Linked DNA regions of Tribolium castaneum. The main gene of each other region encodes a partner of the protein of the gene in region 2 in a complex. Links are inferred from orthologs where the notes say so. Each region holds a gene or a part of one and is shown on either strand. Other genes may lie near its edges. The genes, in order: Prp38, beag and zinc finger matrin-type protein 2.

Region 1 (3,091 bases), on a different chromosome or scaffold from region 2:
TTTGACGCTAGTGGTTTTTTATACGGACATGTGTCCTACTTGGCTGAAGACTGTCAAGCGTGTTTGCTCCTCCTGACGGTGGAAAGGGACGTATTTTTTGCCCTAAGTGAGGCGAAACAACGCATAGTGGAAAAACTGCGACGCAGCAACTGCTTAGAAGCAATCAATGAGTCGCTGAGTGCGAAAGAAGAAACTTGCATTGTTGCGGGTTTCCCCGAACTTAGGCACTATTTGTACAAATGCAAAAGTACAGCACAGTTCTACCAACCAAGCTTGACCCCACCGTACACCAAATATAACGAGAGACTAACAAAGTTGTACAAACGGGCGCATAACTTGTTGCATTGCTCGACGAGGCCGCTAAAGTTGTTATTTGAGAAAAACTCAGACGAGGCGATTTTGGCGTGGGATACGAGAGGTTTTGAGCTTTATGTAGTTTTCGAGCCCTTGATTGACACAAACAGTGCGATTAACTCAGTGGGGCGGCTGCTGAACTGGATTAAGAAAAGGGAGGAGAAGTTGTTTCATCTCAATGCGCCCACTTTTTGAGCCATTTGATTTGTATATATTATAAATATGTAAATTTTGTGGAAATCTAAGGTATAGGCTTAATCTGTGATATTCACAATCCTAAACTTGTTGATGTATTTAATTATTGATTGTATAAAACGATGTATTGAAAAATCAGTGGTGTCTGTCTCGCTCCCGTTTCCTGTCTTTATCCTTACGATCTCGCTCTTTTTCGCGGTCTTTCTCCCGGTCCTTGCGCTCCTTCTCCCTGTCTCTTCTCTCCCTATCGCGCTCCTTCTCCCGGTCGCGGTCCCTCTCCTTGTCCTTCTCCTTCTTGTGGCGTTCCTTACTCCGACTGCGATGCCTTTCTCTGGATCTGCTGCGTTCCCGCTTCCTCTCCCTTTCTTTCTTCTCTTTGGGCTTTTCTTCAACCAACTCGTACTTGTTTTCTTCCTCAAGTTCAATCTCTTCGTCCAAGTCGTCTTCAAGGGCCGAGATCTTGGCTTCGAGTTCGTTGCTTTCTTCCAAAACAATGCGTTTTTGAATGCGTGGCAAAATAACATCACAAACCTTAAAAATTAATTTTACTATCTACCGTAACAAAAAAAACACGTACTCGTTCCTCTCGTAACAATTCGTCAATAAACTCGTCCATGTGTACAATTTCAAACTGCGCTTGGCGATTTTGTCGCCGCAACTTCCTGTTGTCGTTGTACAAAGGCTCAAGATATTTGTAACAGTCTAAGGACGACCCTGTGAGTCTCATGTAGAAAGCACCGAGGGCTCTGACGTATTTAAACTCCTCGTTTTTGATGAATTCAACTACAATGTCTTTCTCTGGTTGAATTTGTAGCATTTTTAGTGTCAAACATAAAAATGGTGTTGGCTTTATATTGCCACCATAAACACCACCCACAAATCGTAATTCCATTGCCTTGTCTACTAAAAGCTCTGCAGTGAGGGCAAAACATTCCTCCTTCCAGTATTTAGAGTCATAAATTCGCGATCTGATGATCTTTTCAACCAGATACTGGGGATTTGTGCCATGGATTGATTTGGCATCTTTTACGGTCCTATTTGCCATAATTGGCCTAATTTAATTTGTAAACTCACTAACGCACCTTATGCACAACTGAATTCGACAGAAATGCACAGTTTATCAATAAATTCTAAGAAATTGTTGACGCTTGTAGTAAACACAAAGTGAGGTTAAAAATGGTTCGCTCTTATCAGACTTTTTGCTTTGCATTGTGAAAAAAATTACAGACAAATAATACTGTGTGAATAATCCAATTAGGAAATACAGGCTAAGGTTATACATTACAAAATTAAACAATAGTACACGTATGAAACAATTTAGTTCTTCAATAATAAACAAGTTTCACGTTTCCCGAATTTCTCATAAAAACTTATTTGCTAATATCGTCTAGTCCCCAGGCGTGACTCGCGGGTGGGAATCCCACAAAAAGTGCCAACCTTTGGTAACTTTGGTTATTACCACCAGACACCATTCTAATTTAAACATGAACAAACGCTCATAATTTAATAAATAGTATTTATGCAAGTAGAAAATTATTAACGCATCCAAATGAGCGTATCGATGGTATTGTTAAAGATGTAAAATTGCTTTTTGGGGGATTGGGTGATTCAAACACTTGCGATCGTTTTAAAAACTTTATTGATGACATTGAGACAGTTAGGCATTAGCTTTATTTGTCTATTTTATGTTTGTTGAGAAGTATATTATAAATTTAGTGTCTATTTACTTATTACTTAACACGTTCACCACCTCGAAGTGGAGTAAAATTGAAAATCAACTGCTGTAGAAAGTCTTGCAATGTTTGTATTGTGGAAAACAGACAATAACAGAATGAGTGAATACAATAACAATAACAGTGAAACACAGGCAGCAAACGTGTGGACTATATACATAAGTTATTTTTCGAAGAATTTTTTGTTTTTATATTTTTTTAGATTGTTTAAGCCCGATAAACATTCCAACTAACTTAAAAAGTGGGCGTGAATATTTATTTCCAATGATTTAAGTTTTTTATTTATAATATACGTTTGTAATACAATATAAAATAATGCTCCTAACACACTCGTTTTTCTCATTTTTGTTTAGGTACAAGTTTCCAGAATTGCAGTTTTCGTATATATCGTATATTAATAACAAAATAATAAATACTTATCAAATAAAATTTTAACTATTTACAATTTATCCCTTAAAAATATTAAATTCGTTAAAATATTTGCAAATTTTTGTATACATGACGAATCCAACACATCCTAAGATTTCAGTCCATTGGATCACAAAGTTTTACACTCAACTATGCTAGAATTTTGTTTCTAATCAGTCGGACATAAGCAACAAAACCAAAAGAAGCACAAGAAATACACTGAACATAAAATGTCACACGCATGTTATTGTTCCACATGAGAATGATGTTTAGATGTGGTTACATGAATCACCTAATGACCAAAATGCTGTACAAGACAGTTGGCACTATCTAAATATAACAAGATTTAGGCCGAACTTCCTAACAAGAAAAATCGGGGGGAATAATGGCATGACTGCAAT
Region 2 (3,735 bases):
ATCCGTGGCCCCGATTATTTTTTCGGGCTCTAGCCCCCTATCAAACCCGTGCACTTTCTTCTCGTCGTTCTTCCTCTTGGCCCCCTTCATGTCGGGCGTCGGCGTGCTGTTCATCTTGCGCTTCTTGCTGCGCTCCTTGTCTTTGTTGGCCCTTTCGGCCTCGAAAGCCGCAATCAGCCCGGGACAGTCCAGGTTCTCCTCGGGCTCCCATGTGTTGTCCTTGTCGTCGTAACCGATCCATTTCAAGTAGTATTCCTTAATACCGGCCGCATTTATCCGACTGTCGATTATTTTCTCCACAACGTACTCTTCGTTGGCCTCTTGGTCTGCGGGGGAAGGACTCGTCCTCTTGCTTTTGCTCATTGTGCCCTGATGGAGAAAACACACTGTACACACCGGGGGGCGCACGGGGCACACTTACGCCGAATTTTACTCAACTTTGGAGGGATTTCGTGCAAGAAATTAAAATAACTTCAAAAGCCGCAAAACAGACGCTTTGCTCACAATTTTCAAACAAACATGGCGGAGGTGCGCTCCGCCGGTAACAAGCAGGTTCCTACACCCCTATTTACTAATTTAATGAATTAAAAGCCCCAAATAGTGATATTTCCGGTGAATTATTTATTATTCAAGCCGTTTGCGTTTATTCACCGTAACGTAAAGCCCCCCCAGTATGAAAAAAACGGTGGTTAGGCGCCCCAACTGAATCTGCACTTTTTGGTTTGAAACTTTGATAAATTTTGTTTGCAAAAAAAAATACGTGTAGGTTTGCAAAAATACTTAATTAAATAATTACTAAGTGTTAGTTGTGGGACAGGGTTGGAAAGTTGTTTTTTTTTTAATTTTTTCTACGTGTTATCGACAAGAATTTGCTGTTTTTCCTTGATTATTTTGGTTAATTATTCGCGATAGTAATTGTAGTAAATGCAAAAAGCTTGTTTTTAGCATTTTGGGGCTATTTGGTCTCATTTGAAGTGGTTCACTGTAATTTTTTTCTGGCTAGGAGGAAGCAAGGTTATGTGATTGACAGTTGACAGTTCTAGTTGCAACATTCAGGCCCAGTTTTTGGTTAAAAATGCCTTCGGACGCGGCCCCCGGGTCGCAGCGGCTGACCAACGACGACTTCCGCAAGTTGTTGATGACCCCGCGGTCGGCGCCCGCGAACGCGCCCGCCCCCGGCTCCATCCGGGAGGCGATGGCCAACTCGTCGACGATGCCGCCCCCCAAAGACGACAAGAACGAGGCGCGACGCAAGAAGAAGAGCTACTACGCCAAGTTGAAGAAGCAGGAGGACAATAAGATGGCAGAACTGGCGGAGAAGTACCGAGACAGGGCCAGTGAGCGCCGCCAGGGGGTGAACCCCGACTACCAGAGCGACGACCCGGTGGCCACGGCTCAGGCCTATCGTGCCGTGGCGCCTGATCTGAAGTCGGGGTTCGATGCGGCCGAGAGGCGCCGACAGATGATTCAAGAGAGCAAGTTCTTGGGGGGCGATATGGAGCATACGCATTTGGTGAAGGGGCTGGATTATGCCCTGTTGCAGAAGGTGAGGAGCGAGATACAGCACATCGAGCAGGAGCAGGAGCAGGAGTTGGAGAGGCTGGCGGCCAAGACGGAGGAGAAGGAGAAGAAGGAGGTGCAGAAGAAGGATGAGGATGAGCTTAAGTTTAAGACGAAGATTGGGAAGTCGATTTACCACACGATTTGTGCGCTGAAGAGTCGGCATATTGAACGGTCGGAGATTTTTGTGCCCGGACGCATGGCCTATGTGATTGATTTGGGTATAGATAAATTTTTTTCTTATCAATTTTTACACATAAACTACGTATTATAGATTATGTCTGAAATTTTCAGCTGTTCAAGCCTGTAATTCTTATAGACATCTTCTTAAGTTTCGTTTAAAACATTTTCAGATATACCTTTTTATTGTTTCTGTACTTTTTTTTAGATTCTTTTCAAAATCACAAAATTTTTGTGATTTTTTCTTAAAGAGGTCTTTAGATCTTAAATCAGCAAAATTTTCGTTTAGATTCTCCTCTCTTGCTTATAAGAATTCTTCTCTAGTTTCTTTTATAATATTTCTTATTTATTTTTTAGCATTGTTTTTGTATTTTCCTTTAGATTTTTTTAAAGATTTTTGTGATTCTTTCTTAAAGAGGTCTTTAGATTTTAAATCAGCAAAATTTTTCTTTAAATTCTCTTTTCTCGCTTATAAAAATTCTTCTCTAGTTTCTTTTATAATATTTCTTATTTATTTTTTAGCATTGTTTTTGTACTTACCTTTAGATTTTTTTTAAAGATTTTTGTGATTCTTTCCTAAAGAGGTCTTTAGATTTTAAATCAGCAAAATTTTCCTTTAAATTCTCTTCTCTCGCGTATAAACATTCTTCTCTAGTTTCTTTTATAATATTTTTTATTTATTTTTTAGCATTGTTTCGGTATTTTCCTTTAGGTTTTTTTAAAGATTTTTGTGATTTTTTCCTAAAGAAGTCTTTAGATTTTAAATCAGCAAAATTTTCCTTTAAATTCTCTTCTCTCGCGTATAAACATTCTTCTCTAGTTTCTTTTATAATATTTTTTATTTATTTTTTAGCATTGTTTTTGTACTTACCTTTAGATTTTTTTTAAAGATTTTTGTGATTCTTTCCTAAAGAGGTCTTTAGATTTTAAATCAGCAAAATTTTCCTTTAAATTCTCTTCTCTCGCGTATAAACATTCTTCTCTAGTTTCTTTTATAATATTTTTTATTTATTTTTTAGCATTGTTTCGGTATTTTCCTTTAGGTTTTTTTAAAGATTTTTGTGATTTTTTCCTAAAGAAGTCTTTAGATTTTAAATCAGCAAAATTTTCCTTTAAATTCTCTTTTCTCGCTTATAAAAATTCTTCTCTAGTTTCTTTTATAATATTTCTTATTTATTTTTTAGCATTGTTTTTGTACTTACCTTTAGATTTTTTTAAAAGATTTTTGTGATTCTTTCCTAAAGAGGTCTTTAGATTTTAAATCAGCAAAATTTTCCTTTAAATTCTCCTTTCTCGCTTATAAAAATTCTTCTCTAGTTTCTTTTATAATATTTCTTATTTATTTTTTAGCATTGTTTTTGTACTTACCTTTAGATTTTTTTAAAAGATTTTTGTGATTCTTTCCTAAAGAGGTCTTTAGATTTTAAATCAGCAAAATTTTCCTTTAGATTCTCTTCTCTCGCTTATAAAAATTCTTGTCTAGTTTCTTTTAGAATTCTTCTTGTTCATTTTTTAGCATTGTTTTTTTACTGTCTTTTAGATTTTTTTAAAGATTTTTATGATTATCTCCTAAAGACTTCTTTAGATCTTAAATCCGCAATTTTTTTTATATTCTCCTCTCTCGCTTATAAAAATTCTTCTCTAGTTTCTTTTAGAATTGCTCTTATTTATTTTCTAGCATTGTTTCTGTACTTCTTTTTGGATTTTTTAAAGGTTTTTGTGATTCTTTTTTAAAAATTTTTACATGAATTTTAATGTTAAAATTCCTATTAATTTAATACCAACATGACTATTAAAATTTTATTTCAGACGATGAGGCTGAATCAGACATTCCAACAACTTTAATCCGTTCAATCGCCGACGTTCCGTCATTTGAACTCACCACAACCCTCACAACCAACGACATTGTCATAAATAAATTAACCCAAATTTTAAGTTACTTGCGCCAAGGCAACCGAAAGAACAAAAAAACCAAACGGGGACTCCCCGAAAGTC
Region 3 (2,722 bases), on a different chromosome or scaffold from region 2:
GCACTAAACCAGCAAAAAACTCTTTTAACAATCCGGGGAAAAACATTTCTGATACGACATACATGAAAGCATGACGTCAAGTCAAAGACATTTCATTGGTTTATTTGTAAGTGGTCGATATGGAATTTAGTAAAATTCATTTTTACAAAAAATAAAGATATTTTCACACCACACGCCACTGCGTTTTAACGCGATTACATCGAAAAGTTCGTTACGAACTTTGAAAAAATCGCCAAATTAGCCAAAAATATTGTTTTTACTTTTTTCAAGCCTTCAACAAGTTTTGGAGCTAAAAAGTTGAAAATATGCAATCAAGTTTGGTGCAACGGCAACTTAATAAAATATAATTAACATTTGAATTTAATAGTACTTACATGTTACCTTTGAGTGTTACGAAACTTATTTAACATCATGGGCTTCTTTGATCAAATATTTAATTGTTTTCAGGGCTTACAAAGACATAGCTGACTGTTATTACATCAAAACTGCGAAAGTGTGTGGAAACAGCGCTGCAGCAACAACTAAAGAACTTCTACAGTCGATAATTGACAGTATTCTCACAATAAGCTGTGACAATGTGAAGGAGACGCCCAAAGTCAAGGACCCAATGCCTGAGGAATATATGAAAAAAGAAAATAAGGCAACTTGTTCCTTCACATTTATTTCATTTACAATTATTTTTTACAGGCTGACACAATGATTCTTCCAACTGTACTTCACTTACTAGTTAGCATAATATTGATTTTTATTTAAACTTCAACAAATCTAAATTATTGTAATAAAGGTATTGAAAGACATTTTGCTACTTTTTTTTAGACGATCCAAAACCTGCAAATCCCATAATGCTAGCAAGCTCACTTGCTTGTTCAGATGTTTCTTCCAACATTTCCTCAGCTTTTCGCTTCTCTTTCCTTTTCTCCCTCCTGTATTCGCGTAGCTTTTCCTCTTCTTCGGCAATTTCCTGCATGCGAGCTGCCATATCGTAATCTTTTTTCTTCTCCTCCATTTTCCGCTTGTTTTGGTCAAACCTTCGTTTAACTGCGTCCAGACTGCTGCGTTCGATCCGCATCGACATTCCCAAGTTTCGTTGATGCTTTTTGCCATTGATGTGATCCAAAAAGTTGATTGAATCTTTAACAACACAGTCGCAGACGTTGCAGTAGTAGCCCCCCGATTGTGATGTTGGTGTGTTTTTGTTTATTACAATGCTTTTGCCAAGCTTTGAATCCAGGTCTACTTTATACTCTCGGGTTTTTAGCATTTCACGTTTCACCGGGGGGCCTTTCTTTTTCTTGGTTTCTTCTTCGAGGCGCTCGATTTCTTCCCTCTTGCGCTCCTCGGCTAACCTCTCGTATTCGTCCCTGTCCCATTTTCGGCGGTGGTCGTCTGGTCGCATAGTCATTTCTGATGATTTTTCTTTAGCAGGATCACAATCAATTAATAAAAACTCAAGTACAATAACAGTGTTGACAAACTGCAGTACACATTGACAGCTGTCAAATTTTCAAGGTTAGGTTATGTTGCTAACTTCATAAGAATAAAGGTTCATTTTCTAATAAATTGCGAATTTGCGCCATTCAGGATGTTTATATATATCATTAGATTATTACAATTGAATTCATTAAACTCATAGAATACTTAATAGATTTTTTAATTTTTTGGTTATTCGACTCTGCTATTACATCTAACGAAGTTAGCTGGGTTACCTGTTTAAAAATTTAAGATGGGAAAAGATCAAAAAAATCCCGTAATCAAGACAATTAGTTATTTATTTCAATTTTTTTATTAATTTTTAAAATCTAATTCACAGAATCTTTCGTTTGCAATTTTTCAGTCTGTGGCTGTTCAAACTACCACTACGTTATGAGTTAGTTATAAGTTATAAATACCAAAGAAAAAGTGGATAACTCAAAAAATTTAAATTTTTAACAAATTATTATTTTGGGTAGGCAACACAATATTCAAATGGCAGCCTACGCAACTAATTATACAGAGTGTTCCAAGTTTTATGGTCGAAGCAAAAATTAATATTCTAGTCGAGTACAAATAAATTAAATTAATTTAAATTACAAAAAATCAAATTGAATTTAATTCAAAATTAAACTAATTCAAATTAAGTAGCATTAAATACATTGACAAATGTCGAGTTAACCGCGATTAAAATTTAATTGCAATTAAAATGTTTTGTAAACCGGCGCTCTTAGTCTAGACAATTAATTACGCTACCATTTGATATTTTGAATGTGGTCAAGTATTAATTGCTGTGAAACATTATAAACCAATTTTTTAAAATAAAGTTCAAGGTGTATTTTCTATTATATGATAAAATTCTTTCAATATTTAAAACCGTAACTGCTAACATAGAATTATACGATTGTTGCCAACTTTTGAGTAATATTATTATTATTACATTATCAGAAAATTCTGATGTGGGCTCTATTCCACAAACGACTTTTACACTTTGCGCTTGCACGTTCCCGAACACCTTTATGTTCCACCAACAACAGTATTTTGCACACTTAGCAAAAAATATACTTAGCAAAAATACTTCTTTTTACAAAAATATGCCAAAACAAATGCAAAGATTGGTGGAAGACATTAACTTTAAAATTTGCAATTTATGCAAAATGCAAAGTTGCAAAAAATTTTAGTGGAACAAGGTGATATTTAGTGATTAAGGTGATATTAAAAAAAATATCAATTTTAAAAAGCCGATTATGGC

What was found.
Region 1: beag (region 2) and Prp38 share a complex: the UniProt entries of both Homo sapiens proteins name them as parts of the spliceosome B complex. The link is inferred for Tribolium castaneum from reciprocal best matches to the Homo sapiens genes IK and PRPF38A.
Region 3: beag (region 2) and zinc finger matrin-type protein 2 share a complex: the UniProt entries of both Homo sapiens proteins name them as parts of the spliceosome B complex. The link is inferred for Tribolium castaneum from reciprocal best matches to the Homo sapiens genes IK and ZMAT2.

The regions. Positions count from the first base shown.
Region 1 is NC_087396.1:19,988,076-19,991,166, forward strand, and holds Prp38 (pre-mRNA-splicing factor 38), read right to left. Parts: upstream 1,761-3,091; 5' UTR 1,595-1,760; coding exon 1,127-1,594; intron 1,081-1,126; coding exon 685-1,080; 3' UTR 632-684; downstream 1-631. Other genes in the region: vacuolar fusion protein MON1 homolog, read left to right, coding at 1-549. UniProt on the Homo sapiens protein: Involved in pre-mRNA splicing as a component of the spliceosome.
Region 2 is NC_087401.1:16,337,989-16,341,723, reverse strand, and holds the start of beag (protein Red), read left to right. Parts: upstream 1-777; 5' UTR 778-1,075; coding exon 1,076-1,781; intron 1,782-3,549; coding exon 3,550-3,735. Other genes in the region: chromobox protein homolog 3, read right to left, coding at 1-363. UniProt on the Homo sapiens protein: Involved in pre-mRNA splicing as a component of the spliceosome. Auxiliary spliceosomal protein that regulates selection of alternative splice sites in a small set of target pre-mRNA species. Required for normal mitotic cell cycle progression.
Region 3 is NC_087395.1:20,717,161-20,719,882, reverse strand, and holds zinc finger matrin-type protein 2, read right to left. Parts: upstream 1,520-2,722; 5' UTR 1,403-1,519; coding exon 803-1,402; 3' UTR 754-802; coding exon of another isoform or gene 688-753; 3' UTR 646-687; downstream 1-645. Other genes in the region: uncharacterized protein LOC656218, read left to right, coding at 448-640, 688-753. UniProt on the Homo sapiens protein: Involved in pre-mRNA splicing as a component of the spliceosome.